Linked DNA regions of Struthio camelus. The protein of the gene in region 1 interacts with the protein of each later gene in a biochemical or structural test. Links are inferred from orthologs where the notes say so. Each region holds a gene or a part of one and is shown on either strand. Other genes may lie near its edges.

Evidence for each region. The genes of interacting proteins can lie anywhere in the genome.
Region 2: the proteins of CDC42 (region 1) and PAK2 form a complex in vitro, tested with the Homo sapiens proteins (4 studies listed by BioGRID, with this or other methods). The link is inferred for Struthio camelus from reciprocal best matches to the Homo sapiens genes CDC42 and PAK2.
Region 3: of the proteins of CDC42 (region 1) and ARHGAP32, one has a biochemical effect on the other in vitro, tested with the Homo sapiens proteins (3 studies listed by BioGRID). The link is inferred for Struthio camelus from reciprocal best matches to the Homo sapiens genes CDC42 and ARHGAP32.

The regions. Positions count from the first base shown.
Region 1 is NC_090962.1:12,587,270-12,595,147, forward strand, and holds the start of CDC42 (cell division control protein 42 homolog), read right to left. Parts: upstream 3,004-7,878; 5' UTR 2,883-3,003; exon of another isoform or gene 2,843-2,882; intron 2,565-2,842; exon of another isoform or gene 2,339-2,564; intron 1-2,338. Other genes in the region: C21H1orf50 (uncharacterized protein C1orf50 homolog), read right to left, coding at 6,646-6,828, 7,876-7,878. UniProt on the Homo sapiens protein: Plasma membrane-associated small GTPase which cycles between an active GTP-bound and an inactive GDP-bound state. In active state binds to a variety of effector proteins to regulate cellular responses. Involved in epithelial cell polarization processes.
Region 2 is NC_090950.1:2,562,716-2,570,327, reverse strand, and holds the start of PAK2 (serine/threonine-protein kinase PAK 2), read right to left. Parts: upstream 3,007-7,612; 5' UTR 2,947-3,006; intron 743-2,946; exon of another isoform or gene 596-742; intron 1-595. UniProt on the Homo sapiens protein: Serine/threonine protein kinase that plays a role in a variety of different signaling pathways including cytoskeleton regulation, cell motility, cell cycle progression, apoptosis or proliferation.
Region 3 is NC_090963.1:7,274,935-7,282,322, reverse strand, and holds the start of ARHGAP32 (rho GTPase-activating protein 32), read right to left. Parts: upstream 3,007-7,388; 5' UTR 2,780-3,006; intron 1-2,779. UniProt on the Homo sapiens protein: GTPase-activating protein (GAP) promoting GTP hydrolysis on RHOA, CDC42 and RAC1 small GTPases. May be involved in the differentiation of neuronal cells during the formation of neurite extensions.

The sequences.
Region 1 (7,878 bases):
GTTTTAGCCCTCTGAAATACTCTGCAAAAATGTCTCATATACCAATTCCAGCAGCAATCTTTTCTGATGGATGTCCTTAGCTAATGTTACGTATGAGCTTCCAACAGAGCTTAAAGGAAGCTTGATGTCCACCTCGTTAAACGAGGACAACTTTCTGAAGTCTACCTACTTTAAATTTCTTTAAAGCCTCAGCATAAAAACTTACCTTGTCAAGAAGTTATTTGTCATATATTAAATACTTAAATTTTTTTTTGTCATGTGTTTAACATAGAGAGGTGACAGGAGCCAAGCTAGAAGCCTGCAGTACGCTAAGTGGGTAAGAAGGGTTTCTTGCTACCTGGCGTACTAAAAATCAATTTCACACCCATTTAATTTGGCAGCACCCTAATCTTGTACAAAAAGAAGTATTCTACTTTCCCCAGGGGGAATTAAGCCTCAAAAGTGAGGATAACAACATCCCCTTGCAATTTCTTCACAAAGCCTGCTACTGCAGAAGCTAGGGACACTGAAAAACCGTAAGATCTAGCTTAACGACACAGTGAAAGTTTGTCTGACCACAAGAGGCAGGCAGAGGAAAGAGGGGGCTAAAATGCAGAAGTTCAGATATTTTTTAAAAGCTGTGAACACTCACATTCTAGAGCAAAACGGGTTACACACATATCTAAACTGCAGTGATGCATGTTTCAGTATGAGTTCCCAGAAGGAGCATTGCGACTCAACTATACCAATAATTTCAATGAACTTTGAAATTTCTGGTGCAACAGACAGCTGTTGAAAAAGCTTTAACTAAATGTCTATTTGTCTATGCTCACAAGCCTTTGAGATTTATTTTAGTACTACAGCTGCGTTTCAACCAAAAGGAACTTTTATACTAGGACTGCAGGTCTACTTAGTGCTGCATTCAACAGCGACCTTGCACATGTTTTACAGGAAAGTTAAGAAAATCACAGTTGCACACTCATCAGGGAAATCCCTAGGAGCTTCAGATGTACTCCATTTCCATTTACCGTTGTTCTTTTAGTAGATCTACAGTTCCCCTTTTGGGTACTCCGACACGGTAGGATTTACAGAACACTTCTATATTAACACTGCAAATACACTAAACTTCCCCAAATCAGCCATCATTTTCAGGCCAACAAACACCACCAAAGCAGGACGTATAACGCGCTAACTAAAAGCATCAGTCACAGATCATGAATAACCAAGTTCAAAGTACATAAATCTAACAATTAAAATTTCTGTCCAGAACAAGCTAGCAAACCGTGAACATGTTTTATCTTGCACAGTGGTAGTTATTATTTCTTGCCAAGACTTAAAAATGCTCTGCCTCATTATTACTAAAGCATATAATAATTGAACAGTTTGAACACACAGAATCGTTTCTACAGTTACCAATATATTGATTCAAGCCTTACATATACCCATAAGATTTCTTTCAAATATGCATTTGCCTATACATTCCCATAACTGTAAGCTAACAAAAAAGAGCACTTTATAAAGCAGAACACCACACTTTCCACACGTAGCTGTCCGAATACAAAAGCCTTCTACCTAAAGTTATTTTTACATAAGAGTCTTTTACTAACTGAAAGAGACAAGCTTTAAGTACTTTGCCGAGTTATTCCAATTAGCAATAGGAGAAGCTTGATCCAGGTTTTTAATTCCCCTCTAGAAAAGGGCGTGTGGGCCACTGCAATTTAACACTTGGAATACAGACAGTTAACACCTCCTTTTCTAGAGCGAGGAAACATTCGCAGATGAACCTGAGACAAAGACAGCCACAGATGGCCAGACTGAACTACTTTTGCCTACACAGTTGTCATCTAACATGGCCTCCTCATTAAGGCCTTGTCTTCACCATGCTTTTGTCAAGAGAGCAGGGCAAAGCTGCTCTGGCTCTACTGGTTGCAGTAGCCACACAGACAAGGCAACGCGATTTCTGGCCATTCTGCAATCCTTCACGAAGCACCCGTTTCACAACGCTGGTTATTTACCTCCGCGCTACCTGACTACACTAGCGTCCTCCCATGGTTGCCTGCCTACTTATGAGGGAGATTACTAACAAGCCACGATAGGACGCTTTTAAGCGCAGCGAGGGAAAAGGTGACTTGTTGCAGGAGTTTACAGGCAAGGAGCTGATAACTCGGAGGAAGGGGTGCGCCCTCGCAGCGACCCTCACCGTCACCCTGGCTTCCCACCCCAGGCCAAAACAGCGACACCGGTCGGCACGGCTACAACGACAAGCCCAGGATGGCCGGCAGGCAAACCGATGACCCAGCACCCAGGGAGACAAAAAGCCAGGGAGCGCCTCCCAACTCCTCCCCGGGCCGCAGCTCACTTTTTGCGCTCTACCTCCAGCGTTAGGCACAGCCGAGCCGCATCTCGGGAACCGCTTCAGCGCTGCTCGCTCCCGGCAGGGCCGACCCTCTGCACCCCACAAGCGCGGACCAACCTTCGCTTTTATTCGTTGTTTATTTATTTTTACCGGGGAGGGTTCCCCCCTATCCACAAGCGCTCCCTTCACCTCCCCCCCCAACCCCGCGCGGCTCCGCGCCGCCGCCCCTCCCCCCCCCCCAAAGGCGCTCGCGCCCGACCGTTGCCAACGGCCGCCCCTCCCCCCCCACCGCTGCCCTGAGGGGAGGGGGGGAGGGGAGACGAGGCGGCCCGGGAGCCCCCCGCACCGCCCGCGGGCGGCGGCAGGGCGGTTCCCCGCACGGCCGGGCCCGGCCCGCAGCCCGGCAGCGGGTGCTGCCCGCACGGACGAGGAAAGGATTTGGGGGGGGGGTGAGGAAGAGGTCGGGGGGGGGGTCGGCGGTCCGCCGGGGGGGGGGGGGGGTGTCGCGGTAGCGGCAGCGCCCGGCCCGCCGCGCGCTCTCTCTCACCTCAGAGTCTCCGCCGGGCGTTGGCAGCTCGCTGCGGGGTCTCCTCCGTTCAGGCACAGGGGCACGCCGCCGCTGACGTCATCACGCACCGGGCGGGGCGGGGCGGGGAGGCGGGGCGCCGCCGAGCCGGCGGAGGGGGAGGTGGCGCCCCGCCCCCCCGCCCCGCCCCGCCCCGCCGCGGGCGCGCGCGCGCGCGCCGCCGCCTGCAGCGCCGAGCACCGGGGCCGAGCGGAGCGGCCCGGAGCTTGGTCTTGGTGGCGATAGGACCCCGGCCCCGGGCCTGCAGCGCCGTGCACGCGGCCCGGTGGCGGGACTCGCAACCTGGCCGTTTTGGCTGAAAGAGGAAACTTGTCTAGATGAATTAAACGCCCGAAAGCGTTTAAACCGGCCCGAAAGCCGGGTCTCGCACCGCGGCTCGAGTAGGCAACGTGGAAGGAGCGGGAGGAAGCTGGCGGCGCAAAATCCCTAACGGGGGTGGGGGGCGGCCGAAAACCATCTGGCGAGGCTGAAAACCACTGCCGTGGGGCGGGTTCAGCCTGCGGCGCCCAGCCCCGCTTCTGTGCTTTTGCAAAACGTGCAATCCAACGAAGGCTGCAGACAAGAGCTGAACCGGTTTTATCACATCAGACGGACGTTTCCCGCGCTCTCAGCACCGTTTATTACCATCGAATAAATAATAAACCCCCCCGCTCAGGACCAGGAGAAGGCAACAAGGCTCGCGGCATCCCTAAGAGCCAGCAAACGTAGGCGCCGGGCCGTTCTCGTTCAGATCCCGCAGCGACGACAAGGCGGGCTGAAAAGGGCCTTTTCGAAGTTGAAACGCAGCCCGATAGTTTCTTTGCTCGCAGAAGTGCCAAAAAACCAAACAAAAACCCACATCCCCAGCCCACCTTCGGCGAGGTTTTCCGACGTGAGTCACCAACGCCTGCCGCCCCGTTCGCTCCTTACCCGCGGGTTTGCTCCTCGGAGCGAGGAAGGCGGCACGCGTTCGCCCAAATCAAAGGCGGGGGGGCACGCGTAGGAGCAAGACAGGGCCAACCCCTAGCGTGCCGGCAGCTCAGGCCTCTTCCCTTTGGCACCGGTATCCCGCCCGCTCCTCCCGGCTGATTTTTGATGCTTCCTACCCCTTCGACCCAAAGAGGCGGCGAGGAAACGGCTTGCCAGAGGTCGAGCCGAGCGGATGAGATCGCGAGCCTGGAAACGCCTAGGGAAATCCTCCCCGGAGCTCTTCCCGTGGTTTCGGCAGGGCCGGCTTCTCCGTTTTCACGCGCTGTTTGGTTCAGGCGCTGGGCGACGCTGGGACAAAAACCGGCCCTCGGCTGCGAGCGCTGCAGGAAGCTCGAGATCGGCACGTCCCACTTTTCTGCCAGCGGCCCCCTGCTCGCCCTTTTCCCCCAGGACGGGCTGCGTAAAAGCATCTCTTGACTTATCTTTCGGTACTTCTGACGTCCTTCCAGCTCTTTGCTTTTGATTAGATGAAAGCGGCCGCCCGCCGAGACGGCCAAAAGCCAGCCTGTAAAATCACAGGCTCGGCAGCTACGAAGGGCATCACCCCAATCCCCTCGTACGTGTACGTCACCGTACGGATTTTAATGATGAAAAACGATCGCTGTCACAGAAATAAAACTGGGGCAGGAATACCTCTTCCCAGAGGAGCGTAAATCAGCACACATGGAGATCTCTGCTGCTGCTGTAATTAGCACTGTGGAAAAGCCCATGCAGTAATTAACTTTCTACCTTCCAAGTTGAGATTTAATAACATGCAGTAAAATAATGCCTGGGGCTATGCAACAAGGGGGGGGAAAAAGCCCCATCCAATTAGGCACTTGCCACTTGATAAGGAATTAATTATACCCTGATCTTTCTTATAATAATAATACGTTGCTTTTTATCTGCTCAGTGCTCTAAGTGAGGGAGGGGTGCGCTGGGAAAACCTCCTCGAAAAGTCCCGCATCAACTCCGAGGACCAGGTTTCTGCCAACCAAAGACTCAACCGGAGAAGGATGGGGCTGAGCTGCTGCATCCGGCAGAGCTGGAAGGGGAAAAAACTAGGAAAGAAAACGCTCGGGCTGTCGGGGAGCTCAGCCTCAAACCTCCCATCCCTCCACAGGACCGGGACGTCTTCTGGTGGGTCGGATCCAAGCAGCCAGGATGGCTCCCAGCACACACGGCTGTGGGATGAAATAGGAGTCGGCCCCCCATCGAGAAATCAGGAATGAGACTTGCTCCAGGACAGATGGTCTTTATCATCTCCAGCATCGAGGCGGCACCAGGAGAGCTGAGCAGGCTGCATGTCCTGACTCCCAGGGCATGCCAGGGGTGCGAGGGCCAGAAGAGAGCGATCCCGAACGAGTAGGCGCATGCCTCTCGCTGGGGCAGAAAAGCTAAAAATCTGCCAGCTAAAAATCTGCCTTTAGGTAACGCAGGGTTACAGGTAGTGGAGGCTGCGGAGGCTGCAGTGAATATGACTGCCTCACCTGGGAAGGCCGGAGGAGCTGCGCTGCCGGCAGCCACGGCCGGTAAAACCGGGTGTTCGGGAGGCGATTTGCAGCTCCTCAGCCAGGATTTGCTGATCTTGCAACAGCCAGAGGGCAAAACTGCAAAGCTCAAAGGCAAGCTCAGAGAGGGGGGGACTGCACTTGCACCCGGAAGAGAAAGCACAAGGCAAGAAAAGAAAAGCCTGCCACAGCGCATGCAGGCTGGAAGCCGAAGGAGAGGCTGTCCCCTGCTGAAGGGAAACTAAACTGGAGGGAGAGCTGCTCTCCTGCTGGCAAGACCCGGAGCAAGAGAGACCCCCAAGGAGCCCTGCACCCCCACGGCATCTACATGCCTGGATGGATGGAGGGCATCTTCTCAAGAGCGCTGATCTTTGCATCTCCCCAGCACCCGGCGCAAGACAGAGAGACACCAGCGAGCCTCCCTGGTACAGCAGGAGAAGGGACGTCAGCCATGCAAACAGGACACCGGGCCCGTCACGGCAGTACATGTGAGATCAAGATAAGATTTATTTCATTTTTTCCAGTGCTCTGCCACAGCCACACTCAACATAAAACAAGAGTGCAGGGCCCGGCACGTTCCCCGTCACTCCCTGGCAGCTCAGCCGCTGAAGCCAATGGAAACCCGTCCTTCAAAGAGCGCACAGCCTGCTCCAACCCTCAGCAGCCAGGCCAAGGGCCTGAAGCTTGCGTGGTCCTTTTGAGGATGCTCTTCCCAGCCAGGAGAGCTCCAGGGCACCTCATATGGAAGTCACAGGCTCTTGAACGCTGTTGGGAGAGACCCATAGGCTCAGCTCACAACACACCCTTCTGCATGGGGCTTTAACTGCTCTTCCCCGGCCAGAGGGCTTCCTAAATATGTGCTTTTTCATCAGGGCCGAAACCCAGCCCTGAAATGATTACCTAGCGCAAGACGCAGAGTCGTACACCGTGGCTGGACAGGCAGGACGTATTTCATAGCGCTATCACATCTGCGTCAAGTGATTTTGCTTTTTGCCCCAAGCCCTCTTGGACTGACTCCATCTGATATCTGCCTCTCGCTAGAGCTTGGCACGAGTCAAAGAAAGAAATTACTCGATTACCAGAAAATCCAGTAAGGCTGATTTTGGAATTAGTCTCATTAAAGTACAGCGCAAGTATCGGCGGCAGCAGCGTTTTCATTTCTGGATCTCTCTCCTTGCCCCGCCTTCGGCAGCGTTCGGGCACAGCCGGCCTGTCCTCTCGCAGGGGCTCTGCTCAGAGGTCCTGTACGGTCACGGCGGCTCACGTCACTTGGTGAGACCCTGGAAGTTGGGCTCTGTACACGGAGGCAGCGCTGCCTGCTGGCTCAGCAGCTTGTCCAGGATGTTTATTTCAGCATCTCGCCTGTCGATGTCCTCAAAGGGAGTCCAGGACATGTCGTGCTGGAGCTTATAGGCGCCGAGAAACTCGTGGGGGCTGGTCCCCCATTCCTGGAGGAGAGAGGACAGATTCACGTCACAACTCTTGTTTCCCTCGGGGCCAGGCTATGCTGGCTGTCTTTTGGCCTCTCTACCCGTGCCGGATTGCCATACCACTGTTGAGGCAGTCCCAGTTACACACAGCTGTCTCATTTTCTAACCTAAAAACAGGATGAAGCTATCCTGAGTCCGAGACCAGGCTGACTTACGGCACTGCTGACGTGGGGAGGTTTGGGGACGGGTTATCAGCCTGTCCCCTGCCCAGTTCCTCCAGCCGGCTCAGTGCTTTGCTTTCTGTTCTCTTTATAGAGTATTAAAATCTGCTTCAAGCGCCCATTTGAGCTCTTACCTGGACACTTCAGAGGAACTGCCCACTCTCTCAGGGAGGGCAGCCCACACCGGGCTAGCCCACCAGAGGTGGATTGAGATCTTTGGTCTCAGCTGGACACGGAACGGAAAAGTGACCCACAACTAGTGACGGAGCTGTGGCGCCTTTCTAGCCATAATCTGAGGATGGCAGCAGGGCACAGAGGTCACTACAGTCCTTCATTTCATCATTAAGGACCTGGCTCTGGAGCGTCCAACCTACTCGTGAGAAAATGGATAGCCTGGATGGAGGACCGGTTCTCCAAGACCAACCCCAACACTCAAGGGTGCAGAGGTCCTCGTTTCTCATAGAAACAAAACACCAGACTGCAAACAAACTCAACCATTGGGCTGAAGCATCTGAGGAGAGCGTTGCCAGGTGGCCGCACTGGAACAGCCTACAGAGAAGGCCCAGGGCATGTTTGCAGTTTGTTACCTCCAGACAAAGAACTGCCAGGACCAAAAGGCAGAATTCAGGTTTTCTTGCTCACTTTCTATTGAGAGCTAAGAGAGCTTCATGATATCACTCTTACGCTAGCAGAGTAACTCTAATCAAGGACAAAAAACTCCACCAATTGAACAAGTACCAGCAAACACCCCTCACCAAGCCCAGTACTTTTGCCTGAGGTCCAGAAGTGCCCAAGCATGTTGTTTTTTCCCTTCCCTGCTTCCTCAGAGGCTGTTATCGCCCACCTT
Region 2 (7,612 bases), on another chromosome or scaffold:
AGCTGCATTTTCAGACAGCTGAGCTAAGTAGGCAGCTTGGCTTGACTGCATCATGCCCAGCTGCTCAAGACCTCTCCGTCTTCTTGTTCTTCCCACCACTATGCCTCCCCTAGCCCCTTCTTTTCCTCCTCAATGTTTTCTTAAGACAACTCACTCTCAAAGCTTTCTGCTAGAGCTCAACTCTCTGTCACCAGAGCTTTGCTCAAGTTATCACTGGCCCCAGTCATTTAGAACACTGTCTCTATAACTAGGACTTGTTTCCAAAACAAATTAACTATTTTCCCAACTGTGGCTACCGCACAGACATGTGAAAGGTGGAGGGGGAAAAAAAAGACAGATAAGAGAATTCTGAAATGGAGGTAGCTGTTACTAGTAAAACAGAGACCTATATTCAGATTCCTGCTGCTTTTCACATTTGATATCAAAAGAACGAAATTAACAGCATCAAAGCCTTTAACATTTATCCTAAAGTTATTTAGAAAATGAAGTTGCTTGATAATTTTTCCTTTCAAACATAACTGAAACGCTAATTTAAACAATGCAAGTGTGCATGATTTTTTTAAGACACATTTTAAAGTAAGCAGATTAGACCTACCATACATGGTCAAAGCATCCATCCATCTACTCCAGCAGCTATTCCAGACAGGAAACAGTAACAGGTGCCTCAGAAAAACTCCCCCAATTGGCCAAACTTTCAGGTTAAGCTGGCATAAATTTCATCCCAGTGAATGAGATCCTGACAACGTCCTATAAAACAACTCAGAGCACATGCACCTCTGATCCACTGAAACACTTTGCCCTCAGCTAAAACATGCAAAATATCTAGACAGCAGCTGAAAACGTTTGTATTATTGACCATTTCCTAGCCCAACATTTTTTTTGAATAACTATGTCTACATAAAGCAGAGTCAAATCCCACATGCAACTTAGACAATACAGAGAATCTGCACTATGCTTTCAAAAATATTTTTGTTCTACCCCAAGAATGGAAATATACCCCCACCGTCATAGGCCTTTCCTTCATCTAAAGCATTACTTGGCGAGTTGTTTTGAAGTGCTCCTGTGATCTTGAAGATTCTCCTCAAAATCTCATCATGCAAAGGCTTTACATTTTTACATTTCTACACTGCTCCTATTTCAGTCTATTAGTCTGCAATAATAAAATGACTAATTTCTTAGTCCTATGGTGGCATAAAACTGGTACAGCACACTTGGTTATGTACGGATATTTGTAAGTCTGCCTCTACAGTATCTTTGTGCATTAAATTAATTCCATCTCCTAAACGGAGAAACCGAACCACAAAGTACTCAGTCCCCTGATTTTTAGCCACATACCACTTCAGGGCTCACATTGTGAAGGCTGCACCATACTGAAAAGCCCAAGAGCAAGCCTATCTTTAAAAAAAAAAAAAAAGAGAGAGAGAGAGAGAGGAGAGAGAGAGAGAGAGAGACATAAAGAAAGAGAAAAATGGAGAAAGGCAGGAGCAAGAAGATAAAAAACAAAAAAGACACAAAATTCCATGCTCAAATTGTGCTTACTATCCCAGTCATTGTGCTTACTATCCCAGTTATTGCAATACCTCCAAAATAATGAGGATTATTAATAAAAATGCTGCAATATCTGGCCTGCTTTCACTTACCATAAGACAGCATGTAAATGGATTTATTTTGGCTACAGGCAAAGTGCAGTATTGCTCTTTGAAAGCTAGCTGATTAACTGTCTGCTCCCAGACAAACCTTCCGGCAGTTGCTTGTACACACCAGTCCCTGAGCTCAGGCTAAACCAAATTTTTTTTCCCAATTCCCTGATCAGCCTACCATTAGACATCTACTGTTGTCGGGCAGGCAGCACGGACAGAACGGAAGGCAAAACGCACTAACAAAAACTAAACAGAAAACACAGCAAAGAGAAAAAACAAACAGAAGAGCACACAAAGAGTAGCAGTTACATTACGGTCTAGTATAAAAAGGGTATCACAGCAGCTCCAAAGAAAGATTCATAACCTGCTGCAGTACTCGGATTCCTTCACTCACTGTAGGAAAGCATGTGACCAAAAGCTCTCTGCACTACATTTCCGTACTTGTACAGATTTTTCTTTAAGAGTTTTTCACAGATACATTGACGCTAATTTTCCCCCCACTTTAAGCGATCTGACAACAACGAAGGCTGTTGTGAAGGGTGTACTGTTTTCCTCGGGACAGACTGCTCTTTGCTCTGGGGGTGCCACCACCGCGCCCAGCCCTGAGGCAGAAAGGGACGTGTCGGGAGGGGGGCGGCAGGGGACAGAGGATGGAGGTGACCCTTGGGCTTCAGAAAGCGCCTGCTGAGTTCCCGCAGTACTGGCCCACAGAGGGCAAATCAGCATTACAGCAACATCAGGCACCGCTTTCCGGCCAGCCACCGCCGCGCGGCAACGGCGGCGAGCGCACCACAGCTCCTCCGGATCACCAAACGACCAGGCGGCCTCTCTCCTCGCCAGCTCGCCGCCCCGTTTCCCCCGGGCAGCGCCCCCGCTGCGCCTCCCGCCAGCGCATCGCCGCCGCGGGCGCGGCCAGCCCCCCGGGGCAGCGCGCTCGGCGCAGGCCGGCGCCCGCGGCGCCACCGCGGCTTCCCGCGGCGCAGCCCGGTGCCACGGCCCGGCCGAGCTGGCCCCGCCGCGACCCGCGCACCCCCCACGGCGGCCGGCGGGCAGGGCGGGCGGCGGCCCGGCCGAGACGGCGCGCCCGGGCCCGCCAGAGGCCCGCGGCCGCGCAGGAGGCCACAAAGGGCGGAAGGCGCGGCGACGCGGCGGCAGGTGGGAGCGGGCCGCCGCCGCGGCACTCACCGGGATGGCGGCAGCGCCTGCCGCCTCTGCAGACGGCCCGGCGGGGGCGAGAGGGGGCGGCGGGGCGGACGGGGCGCGGCCGCCACACGGCGCCTCCTGCAATGGCGGCGGCGGGACCCACCGAGGCGGCGGCGGCAGGAGCCGGAGGGGGAAGCGGAACCGCCACGCGCGGCCACAGCCCGCGAGGGCGGGCAGGGGCGGGGCGCCGCCGCACGCCGACTCCAACTCCCGGCAGGCCGCGCGGCGGCGCTTCGGCGCGCGGGGCCTCACGGGACGCGTAGTCTGGGGCAAGCGGCCCAAGATGGCGCCGGAGGCAGCGGCGCTACCTCCGGCAGCGGCGGCTCTACAGGCCCTGGACGCGGTTCCCTATAGAGCAAATTAACGCTGCTTCAGTAGCGTCACCGCCAGGAGTGAGGCGATCAGAGGCAGTCTCTGCACATCCCCACAGCTGACAAAAGCAAACACCCTCAAGACAAAATAAAGGACAAGGACGTCTTTTAAACTCACACCTCTCTTCTATCTTCTGGCTTTTTCTTTGAAATTTGGCATTATTTCCCCAATACTTCATTTGATGCTCAAGCATCACCTCCTCCAAGCTCAAGACCGGTGCATCCCTCTGAGGAAGAAGTCCAGCAAAGCGGGCAGGAGACCTGCGTGGCTGAGCAAGGAACTCCTGGCCAAACTCCAACAGAAGAAGGAAGCGTACCGAATGTGGCAAAGGGGACAGGCCACTTGGGAGGAATACAGGGACGTTGTCAGAGTGTGCAGGGATGCGACGAGGAAGGCTAAGGCCCAGTTGGAATTAAATCTGGCAAGGGAGGACAAGGACAACAAGAAGGGCTTCTTCAAGTACATCAATAGCAAAAGGAAGCCTAGGGAAAATGTGGGCCCACTGGTGAATGGGGCGGGTGCCCTGATAACAAAGGATATAGAGAAGGCAGAGTTATTGAATGCCGCCTTTGCCTCAGTCTTCACTGCTAAGGCCAGTGCTGAGGAATTCCAGACTCTGGGGACAAGAGAGGAAGGCTGCAGAAAGGCAGACTCTCCCTTGGTGGAGGAGGATCAGGTTAGAGATCTTTTGTCCAAACTTGACACCCACAAATCCATGGGCCCCGATGGGATACATCCACGAGTGCTGAGGGAGCCGGCGGATGTTATCGCTAGGCCACTCTCCATCCTCTTGGAAAGGTCATGGCAATCAGGAGAGCTGCCTGAGGACTGGAAGAAAGCCAGTGTCACCGCAGTCTTCAAAAAGGGCCAGAAGGAGGAGCCAGGAAACTCCAGGCCTGTCAGCCTCCCCTCCATCCCGGGCAAGGTGATGGAACAGCTCCTCCTGGAGGTCCTCACTAAGCGTATGGAGGACAAGAAGGTGATCAGGAGTAGTCGGCACAGATTCACCAAAGGGAAATCATGCTTGACCAGTCGGATAGCCTTCTGTGATGGGATGACCGGCTGGGGAGATGAGGGCAGAGCAGTGGATGTTGTCTGCGTGGACTTCAGCAAGGCTTTGGACACTGTCTCCCATCACATCCTCCTAGGTAAAATCAGGAAGTTCGGGTTGGATGAGTGGACAGTGAGGTGGCTTGAGAACTGGCTGGATGGCCGAGCTCAGAGGGTTGTGGTCAGTGGCGCAGAGTCTAGTTGGAGGCCTGTAGCGAGCGGTGTCCCCCAGGGGTCAGTCCTGGCTCCAGTCTTGTTCAACATATTCATCACTGACCTGGAGGAAGGGACAGAGTGCACCCTCAGCAAGTTTGCTGATGATCCTAAACTGGGGGGGAGTGGCTGACACACCAGAAGACTGTGCTGCCATTCCGAGGGACCTGGACAGGCTGGAGAGTTGGGCGGAGAGGAACCTCCTGAAGGTCAACACAGGCAAGGGCAGGCTCCTGCACCTAGGCAGGAATAACCCCAGGCAGCAGGACAGGCTGGGGGTGGACCTGTTGGAAAGCAGCTCTGCAGAGAAGGACCTGGGAGTGCTGGTGGACAACAAGTGAAGCATGAGGCAGCAATGTGCCCTTGTGGCCAAGGCCAATGGTCTGCTGGGGTGCCTTAGGCAGAGTGTTGGCAGCAGGTGGAGGGAGGTGATCCTGCCCCTCTCCTCAGCCCTGGCGAGGCCTCACCTGGAGTCCTGTGTCCAGTTCTGGGCTCCCCAGCCCAAGAGAGACATGGCCCTACTGCAGAGAGTCCAGCGGAGGGCTCCAAAGAGGATGAGGGGACTGGAGCATCTCTCCTCGGAAGAAAGGCTGCGAGAGCTGGGCCTGTGTAGCCTGGAGAAGAGAAGACTGAGAGGGGATCTGATCAACGTGTACAAGTATGTGAAGGGGGAGTGTCGAGAGGATGAGGCCAGTCTCTTCTCTGTGGTGCCCAGCAACAGGACAAGAGGCAATGGGCAGAAACTGAACCACAGGAAGTTCCATGTGAACCTGAGAAAAAACGTGTTTCCTGTGAGGGTGACAGAGCATTGGAACAGGTTGCCCAGAGAGGTAGTGGAGTCTCCTTCCCTGGAGTTATTCAAAACTCGTCTGTGATCCTGGGAAATATGCTCTGGAGGACCGTGCTTAGCAGGGAGGTTGGACTAGAAGATCTCCAGAGGTCCCTTCCAACCTTAGCCATTCTGTGATTTGTTGGTTAAAACTTGTTTACTGCAGCATGGGGGCTTCCCGCCGTGCTTGTGGAGCAGCTGCTGCCTCTGGCAGGGGCGTCCAAGAGCACCAGAGGGCTGTGCTTTGCCGTCCTCAGCTATGCTATGCTCGGCCTTCCTCTTGCCTTAATGTGCTGGAAGGAGCTTGTTTTTGTATTAGCATAGCCAATGACAAATTAACCGTTCTCCCTCTAACTTAGAATAATCCACGTGCTTCCAATTCCACGAATCCTTGCAGCTCGGTGTCTTGACGGTATTGCCAAAAGGACTATATGTGAACTACAGCAGCAGAACCCAGAGTCACTGCCAGCATTACCATGTCCTGTCATTAGTGACCTGCACCACCTCTTCTGTAGTTACTCTAACGCCCAGGTACCAAGAGCTGTAGTAGCAAGCACAGCTGAGAAAGCAGCATACTTGCCCTCGAAACTCCTACTCCCCCAAAATTCCTATGACATATTTAATCTTCCAGATGACTTACCCAAACATCCACCTGCCCTGCAGCTCTGACCTGACCTCCTCCTTCAACCCAGGCTTGAAGCAACATCTGATTTTTCCTTCAGAAAGAAAAGAAAGCATGTCAGGCAGATCCTTTTCGTAAGAAGTCTGGGAAAAGTAGGCGGCTACCATTACGGCCTGGTACCTGCCCACACGTCCAGGGACAAACAGTGCAAAACAGCCTTTCCAGCTTCTGCTGCTTTCAGCCCACATTTGCTGGTCATCATCTCTGTTAAGCTCCACAGAATTAATGCAGAGTGAGTGATTGCAGAACACATGCCCCCATAGACCTCCAATATTTCCACTGCATTATTCCAGGAGTAGTACTCTGCAGTGACCCTGCTGTGGCCAGTGGCAACTGTTCTGGTCTCCTTCCTACTGCAGACAAGGCCATCGTCCCCACTTCTCTTCGCATGCTGCTTTGTCATTCTCCCTGCTTAGACTCAACTCCCTATTAATCCCTTTCAGCACTAAAAGTTCTGGTAATTAATCTCCACAGTTATGTACTTCTCAAGAAACTGTGGCAGGTTTCTAAACTTTCTTCACACCTCCTCCAGCTTTACTTTCATTTCCTACAAAATGACCTTACTTCTTTCCGATTCAGCTTTGTACCCCCAAACCCATTCAGGTCCTGCCCCAAAGCCTTTTCACAACTCTTATCCACCTCCCATTCCATTCTCTCCCCAGGCATGTCTTTTTAGAACAAACTAAAAGAGTATTTTTTTTTAAATTATGCACATTCACTTGTGATTCAGAGTCTCTGATAGAACCCTTAACTCTTAACGTGCCTTTTTCCCCCTGTACCCCTCCCCCTTCTTTTATTGCTTTAATTCCTTTATTTAATTCAATCCTTACACTCATCAATAACGTATACGCTTGTGTCTGACTCTTGTATCTATGTTGTCTTGCTAACAACTCAAACTAGCGTGCAGTCCCCTCCTTTCTGTCTCCAAAACTGCCAGAATTTCTTAACAGAGAATTGGTTGGATTATGGCTCCTCTGCATCTGCCAGTGACCCCTGGCTAATGACTGACATTACAGCTTTTAGAGAAGAACCTGTCTACTGTATTTTTATAACACAACTGCTATGAATTTAAAACCAGCAAATCATTGCTATTTGCCACAGCAAAAAACATTCACTGAGAAATTCTGTGATTTCTCTCAAATTTTACATCAACAAGAATAAATATTACTAAGGCTCAGTCTAGAAGCCGATCAGTGGATCTCAATGCACGTTACAGATGCTTAGTAAGCCAGGCACCCTCCAAACTGATTAGTGCCCTGAAGTTTCCCCCATTAGCAGCCACTTTTAAACTGGTCTGATGTCAGCTATTTGTTTCGTACTGACAGTGCTAAGCCCCCTGTAATTCAAGCCCCTCCTGCCTCAGTTTCTCTACTATAGCTTGCCACTAACATGGGTTTCCATTCTCGCATCATCACTTCTACTAATTTCTAAAACAGCCGCTCTTCATATTTTGCCAAAGTAATATTTTTCTCATTGGTCACAAGGAAATCACTGTTTGCTTTCGCTGGACTAAGATATTAGGCAGCTTGTTTTACATAAGTAATTCAAACTGTGATTTTCAATTGGTATTATCCAACATTAAAGAAATTGTGAACTTTCAGAAGCAAAAGATCTGTCAGAAAC
Region 3 (7,388 bases), on another chromosome or scaffold:
ACAGATAAGAATACTTTGACAGGAAGTGCCAATGAAAATAATTCCCCAGTTCATGAGGAGGCTATATCTTCCTCTTACTTGGGGAGAGAAGCAAGCAAAGGCCAAGGGAATCTATTCTAACTTTTCTCTTGTATACACACTCTTCTAGCCGTAATAAAATACTAAAAACCTCACTTTTTTCTGGAAATGTGTGTATTCGGCTCCTGAAAAACACACTGAATGTTTGTATAAACGTTTGACGTGTTTGTTTGGAAACGGGGGAAGTTCACTGGACTCATCCCCCCTAATACGGTCTGACACTTGAAACAAAACACCACATTCAAATAGCAAAACAACATTTCCTTTTCAGAAGTTCAAAAGAAAGTTTCAAAAGAAACCAAAGCCCAGGGGAAAATTGCTAAAGCAGTACTGTTCCCCCTTTTACTCGTTAGATTTCTTCCATTCCCTTAGGGATGCTCTCCCCAGCTAAGAAGTAACCACTACAATCCTTTCCCTTATAGTCAAGGACACCATTGTATTCCTCTCACTTTATGTTACAGAAAAACAGAGAGTTAAGAAGCGAGAGACTGATATTTCTTAATCCATCAACAAGCAGCACGTAAAATTGCCATATCCAGCTAAAAACATACATAAGAGCCAGAAAGTAACACAACTCCCTAATGGCAGTTCTACTGACCTGTCTCTGATCCTCTTGGCTTCTTCAAAATTTGACATTTTTATTTTAAACCCGCAAATCCCAGACTAAGACTGCAAGCTGAAATACTGAACAACAATTTGCTTCTGGCAATTAGCTAGTATTTCTGTATGCTATATACAGTATTTATATCATGTAAAACTTTCAGTTGTGTTGTTTCCCCAAATAATAGGTTTTACAAAACACTTATTGCCAGACTCTCACCTTACTTTTTTCCTTTTATTTCTCAATCCCTATATATATCCTCAAAGGAACAAAGTTTTGATTCTTCCCGATGACTCCCGTTATGTTAAGACACTACAAAACCCTCAGATATACAAGGGTACACACTGTGGCACAGCACAAAGCAGCCTTCGATAACTTTCATGAAAGCAAAACAGCCCAAGCACAAGAACTACTTACTTGCTCTTTATTTTGAAGAAAATATTTTACTTGCCAATCAAAATAAGTTGCTCACCTGAGGCTAACATAATTTTGCAAAACTGGAATGAGGAGAAATCTGTGCAGTGGGAAAGAAATGGCACGGTACTAAACAAACATGTTAGGACTTTTGTCCCTATTCGGTGAAAAAGGTATTGATTCCCTACTCAACTCTCAAACTCTTCAAGCAGGTATTCTTATAACAGTCTTGGAAGTTTAATCATCCTGCTCCGTATCAAGGAAGAGTGGTCACTTTGGGGTAATACATGTTAGGGTTATAGCTCTTACTTGAGGTGAAATACCTTATTTCAAGCCTTTACCTCCTCGTCTTCTCACCTGTTCCTCAAAATCGCATTCTTACCGATGACCATATCAGCCAGTACAACAAACTGGACTTCCATCCCCAGCAAAAGCTGTCTGAGTCTCTGTCCAAAGTGCTGTTTTCGGCAGTATCTCATGTGGAAAGCGTAGTGGTGTAACAAAAGTTACGTGTTCCCATCACCTTCTTAGAATTCAAAAGCCATCAGAATTCAGTTTGGAGCAACAGACTGCAACATGAGACACCTTCTCAAAGGAGAAAGAGATGGCACTGCAAGATTGCCATAAGGCATATGGGTATTTGCTTGTAAGTAATGTTTCAAAAGCCAAATTACCTTTTTCCTCCAGTTGAAGTGACTGTTCAGCATGACTCAGAGTCCAAAAGCGCTGGGGATCTATCCTTACCAGATGCTATTTTTCTATCCTTTTCTCACTTGCCCATTTCAATTGGGTGTAAAAACTAGCCAAGAAGGTTTTCCAGATAAAATCATCTCCAGGCACACGCACACACACACACTCAACAATGAAATGTCTACTGACATTAAAACATTAGTACGCTGCCATTTCATATGCTTTGGTAGCCCACAGATGTTTTCTGCAGAGCACCCTTACTGATCCAAGCAAGTCTGTGGATTTTCACTACACCTGAAAAGGTCTAACAAGGCATTAAAAGGACCCCATCAAAAATACCACAAAGGACACTTTACACAATGGAAAAAGAGCCAAGTACAAAGCTAGACGGCAGCTGCACGCCCGCCAAAGAGCACAAAGCTGTTTTTCCAGCATCTGAAAAGCACTTATAATGGAATACACAGACTGAAATCCCAATTATTCCCTCCTCTCTTAACATGTGATCTTCAGGGGGCGTTATCAAACTATTCCACCTCACAGCTCCCTCCACCTTGTGACATCCCTCACCCTTCCTGCTGCCGGCTCAGCGACACGGGACAGTGACTAAACGTGATTATAACAGAGAATTGAGAGGGTGGGGGGGGGGGGGAGGAGGAATTTAAAAAACAAAATTAAAAAAAAAAAGGAAAAAAAAACGAGAAACAGCCACGAGTTTATTTATGCATTTATTTCTCCGCCACGGGGAGGGAGCGAGCCCCTGAGGCAGCAGCCGCGCGTGACCAGCCGCGTCCGTTGGCGGTAACGGCTGGAAGCGCTGACAAAAGCTCCCGCGCGCCCCCTCCCCGCCCCCGCCCCCACTCCCTCCCTCCCTCCCCTCAGCGCCGCTTTCGCGACAGACGCGGCGCTATCGCGATACGCGCGGCCCCCCCCCCCCCACCACCACCGCTCCCCCCACAGCCCTCCTCTCCCCCCTCAACGCCCCCCCCCCCAACTCACCTCGCTCCACCACAGCAGGGACCGAGCCCGGGCGCCCCAACCGCCGCCTACCAGCCGCGTCCCGCCGCCGCTAACATGGCCGCCGCCGGTGAGGACACGGCGGGGAAGGAGCCGCGAGGAAGAGCCCCGCCGCCGCTGCTGCTCGGTGAGAGGGAACCGCGTCCAGCACACGCCCCCCTCCACACGCTCCGCGCCGCAGAGAAAGGCTCCGGCGCGCACCGGGGCCCATGCGCATTGCCGCCGCCCGCCGGCTCCGCCCCGCCGCCGGGGAGGGCGGGCGAGTGGGCGAGGGAGCCGGGGGGGGGGGGGCGAGCGCGCGCGGAGCGGTTGCGCGGGAAGGGCGCGCGAGGCCGGGGGTGCACGGGAGTGGGGGGTGCAACGGGGACGGGGGGGTGCACGGGACTGGGGGGCTGCAACGGGGACGGGGGGTGCAACGGGCACCGGGGGTGCACGGGACTGGGGAGTGCAACGGGGACGGGAGGTGCAACGGGCACCGGGGGTGCACGGGACTGGGGAGTGCAACGGGGACGGGGGGTGCAACGGGCACCGGGGGTGCACGGGACTGGGGAGTGCAACGGGGACGGGAGGTGCAACGGGCACCGGGGGTGCACGGGACTGGGGAGTGCAACGGGGACGGGGGGTGCAACGGGCACCGGGGGTGCACGGGACTGGGGAGTGCAACGGGGACGGGGGGTGCAACGGGCACCGGGGGTGCACGGGACTGGGGGGCTGCAACGGGGACGGGAGGTGCACGGGAGTGGGGGACTGCAACGGGGATGGGGATGAGGGGAGCACGCGGGGCAGGAGGCTGCAGCGGGGCTGGGAGTGTGCGGGGCAGGGGCTGCAGCGGGGCAGGGGAGTGTGCAGGGCAGGGGGCTGCAGCGGGGCAGGGGGCTGCAGCGGGGCTGGGGAGTGCACAGGGCGGGGGCTGCAGCGGGGCAGGAGGGTGCAGTGGGTTTGGGGGCTGCAGCGGGGCTGGGGAGTGCACAGGGCAGGGGCTGCAGCGGGGCAGGAGGGTGCAGTGGGGTTGGGGGCTGCAGCGGGGCTGGGGAGCGCGCAGGGCGGGGGCTGCAGCGGGGCTGGGGAGCGCGCGGGGCAGGGGCTGCAGCGGGGCAGGAGGGTGCAGTGGGGCTGGGGAGCATGGGGGGCAGGAGGGTGCAGCGGGGCTGGGGAGCCCGCAGGGCAGGGGGCTGCTGGAGACTGCAATGGGGTGACAGGGATTGCACCACGCAGGGGGGCTGCAGCAGGGCCGCATGGCTGCAGTGAGGTGGCAGGGGGGGCCGCAGGGTACACAGGAGCAAGGGGGCCGTGGCAGGGTCCAGCACCTGGGAGCAGCGCATGGGAGCCAGGGTGGCTGCAGCCCGTAGGTGCCTGGAAGCAGGGGGGCTGCAGTGCCATGGCATGGTGGAGGGTTGCAAGGGAGCCCGCTGGCTGCAGTGGGGCTGGGTGGTGAGGGTTGCAGGGGATGGGGGGGGCGCAATGAGGCTTGGCGGCGGGGGGTGCACGGAGGGACCAGAGCTGCCCTCATGCGAGACGGGGAGAGGTTCTCCTTCGGCAGCTGCCTGCCCCGGCGCAGGGCCCGCTTGCCTGCGGGTTGACGACTTGCACAGCCCGTTCGCAACACGAAGCCTTCCCGCCCGGTGAAGCCTGAAGCGTATGACATCTCATCCTAAGGCAAAACGGTGCTGTTCCAGCAGAAGAGGTTCACTTAAACCTCGTGTAAAAATCTGAATTGTTCGCCACCATCTCTTTGCTCCAGACGAGCCAGATGCAGGAGCCAGCGGTGCTGAGCAGAGGCGAGACCTGTGCTGCTGCTGCGGTAGCCGACCCCAGGCTCTCTGTAATGTTGGGCTGCTTTGCAGACGCTTGGTTAAATGGTTAGCGTTTCCAGAAGCAGCTGCCTTGGTTTTGGAGGCAGGGGCCCGGAGGCAGGGCTGTGCTGCGAGAGACACGCGGTTGCGTTGGGGTAACACGCAGTGCCGCGCACCTGGCAGTTCTCCGGAGAGCCGCCGTATGTGCTTTGCATTAACCGCAGGGTTATGCAGGCTGCATTTGCATTGCGAAAGCAAACATGCAGTGGCCCACCGGTGCTCTCCGAAATACTTAAAAAGGTAAGAGAGGGGTCGCTGCGAATATTCTGCCGGCTGGATTTGATGCTTTTGGTTTTTCTCTTGCACCTGTGAAGCGCTGTAAATATAAGACGATTCTGGTGATACCAGTTATCCAGAGCATTTGCATAAATGATATTGCTGTTTGCCAAAGTATTGGGCGAGTAGGGCAAATTGAGCTGTAAGCATGCAGCAGTTTTGACTCTTGAACTTCAATGTAAAATATTTTTGAAATGTTAGTTGCTAGAGTTGTGAAGAAAATTTCCAAAGCCGCTCACGAGTAACCGACGATAGTTATCGATGTGCAGAGCCTGGAACAACAGCTCTGAGACACGCGAACTGCTTCACGGCAGGATGTGCCGTGCCAGATGCCAACACGCAAAGTTTTAGCCACCGCCGCGGGTGGGTTCAGGGCTCCCTGCGTGAGGAGCCAGCACATCGCAGAGGCGTCGAGCGGCGCTTCCCAGCGCGGGGCAGAGCGCAGCCACGTGGACTAAGAAAAGCCGATGTTGCAAATGCATACGGTCAGGTGACGACGAGGCAAAATCCCGTGATTTATTGGGCTGGTGCTTGTGCCCGGTCCCGTCAAACCTGACGGGCTAATCGAGGCGAGGCAGGACCGTGCCCGCGTGGCCGGCTGCCGACGCAGCTCGGGACGCCGGCAGATCGCCGTTTTAGCAGCACGCTGGGCGATCCCTGCGTCCGCGTTGCCGCTTCGCGCGACTCGGAAACCCCTTGGGAGGAAGAGACCCCGAGCGTCCCGGCGCACCGGGGCCCTTCCCTCCGTATTAGATGCTGTCGCCTCTTTAGCGGTTTTGGAAGTTCTTCCTCGTTTTGACGGGCTGTCGCTTGGTGATTTTTGGTCGGGCTCCTTTGTCGCCCTTCCCAGGCAGAGCTTTTTCCCTTATGTCTGTCTAAGCAAAACCACATGGCGGGCCGCGCGCAGGAGCGCGGCCTGAGAAAACCGGAGATCAAAGCAAGGGCTTGACTCTCCGCGGAAGAGTCCAGCTGCGTCTCCCCTCTCGCTGCCTCCCACCAAGCTTGTGGCTTGTGCTTTGCAGCTCACTGCCTTTATTTTATTTTATTTTATTTTGCCTCAACATCTTTGCTTAAAAAAGAAAAAAAATAGAGAAAGGCAGAACGTCCTCCCATGTAAAACGTCCTCTTTGTTTCTCATGCGCTCAGTCCGTCGTCTTGCTAATTTTCTGGAAATTTTAACGGCTCTCGATGATGCCAGGAAATGCTTTGACCTGAACGAGCAGAAAAGGTCAGAGCTCTTGTGTCGACTTCACCAGGCGGGACGGAGCTGATGTGAATCGCTTGGGCCCCGGTCCGAGGTTGCTGCCGTGTGTCTGGAGGGCTCGTCTGCCCTTTGCAGGCAGGATCCCAAGGTCCCTCACCCCCTTCGCTTCCGCCGTAGCCAGAGCTTTCCCGAACCCCGAGGATGAGAGGCAGGAGCGCGGCCCAGCGTCAATCCCTGACCGAGCTCAACCTTCAGTTTTGGCTTCAGAAAACAGATGCGTGTTTATTAATAATCAGGAGTAAGAAATTTTTTCCACCTAGCGCGAGGCTCTTTTTGAGCGCTCCACAGCTTGGTACGTATGCCTGGTTTTTTCACAAACTCTTTTTCCGCTGAGGAATGAGATTGGGGAAACTGAAGAAGGGGAGTTTACCTGGCTTGGGTTTAGAGGGCTTTTTTGATGGGTAATGTAATGAAAAAAGATACGTCTACCCCTGGCGGAGGCAGAAGGGAGTTGCTGTGTTGCTGGCTAGCTCGCCAAGTTTGGTTTCCTTCATGTAAGCTGGCCTCGTGATGCTTTCCCAAGTGGCTCATGCCAGGCAGCTCCATATCTTTCCTTCCTTTCCTTCATCTCCTGCTTCTTTCAGTGATTTTTCATGGAGTGAAATGAAATATTGGAGTGAAATATTTGAGGAAAATCATCCGTTGCGTTCGGAGATTTCTTCTGCGCTTTATTTATTTATTTGGAGAAGCTGGTGATGCCATTGCCAAGCAGTACCAGACTCTGTTTACAAAATAAGCGGGGACCACAACAAAGAGGTGTGGAAAAACAAAGCCGAGAAGGAAGAGTGCGAGAGAGACAGACTGTGTTTCTGTCCCTGCAAGCTGCTTTGCATTTCTATAGCACCTTTCCTCCCAGTATTTCAGGGCATGTCACAGACATTAGTCATGCCTCATGCTAGATTTGAGAGATGAGTGAGGCAATTTCTGCCACGGCTTAGAGAAGAAAAATCTCTTGGAGATCTGTAATTCAGAGAGAAGGCGAGCCCTTTCCAGCAGAGGGTTGCGGGAGCCAGGCAGGTCACTTCTCTGCACTTTAGTGTTTTTAAAGTTAGGGCACTTGTCAGTCTTCAACATGTCTAGCTAATTTTTCTTTAAAGCGCCTTGTATTTTCTCCCAGGGGAACTACAAAGGCCTTTGAAATACGAAACGAATGGGCGCGTTGGGTAGGCGATCTGCAGTCTGCAGCCCTCGCTGAGCA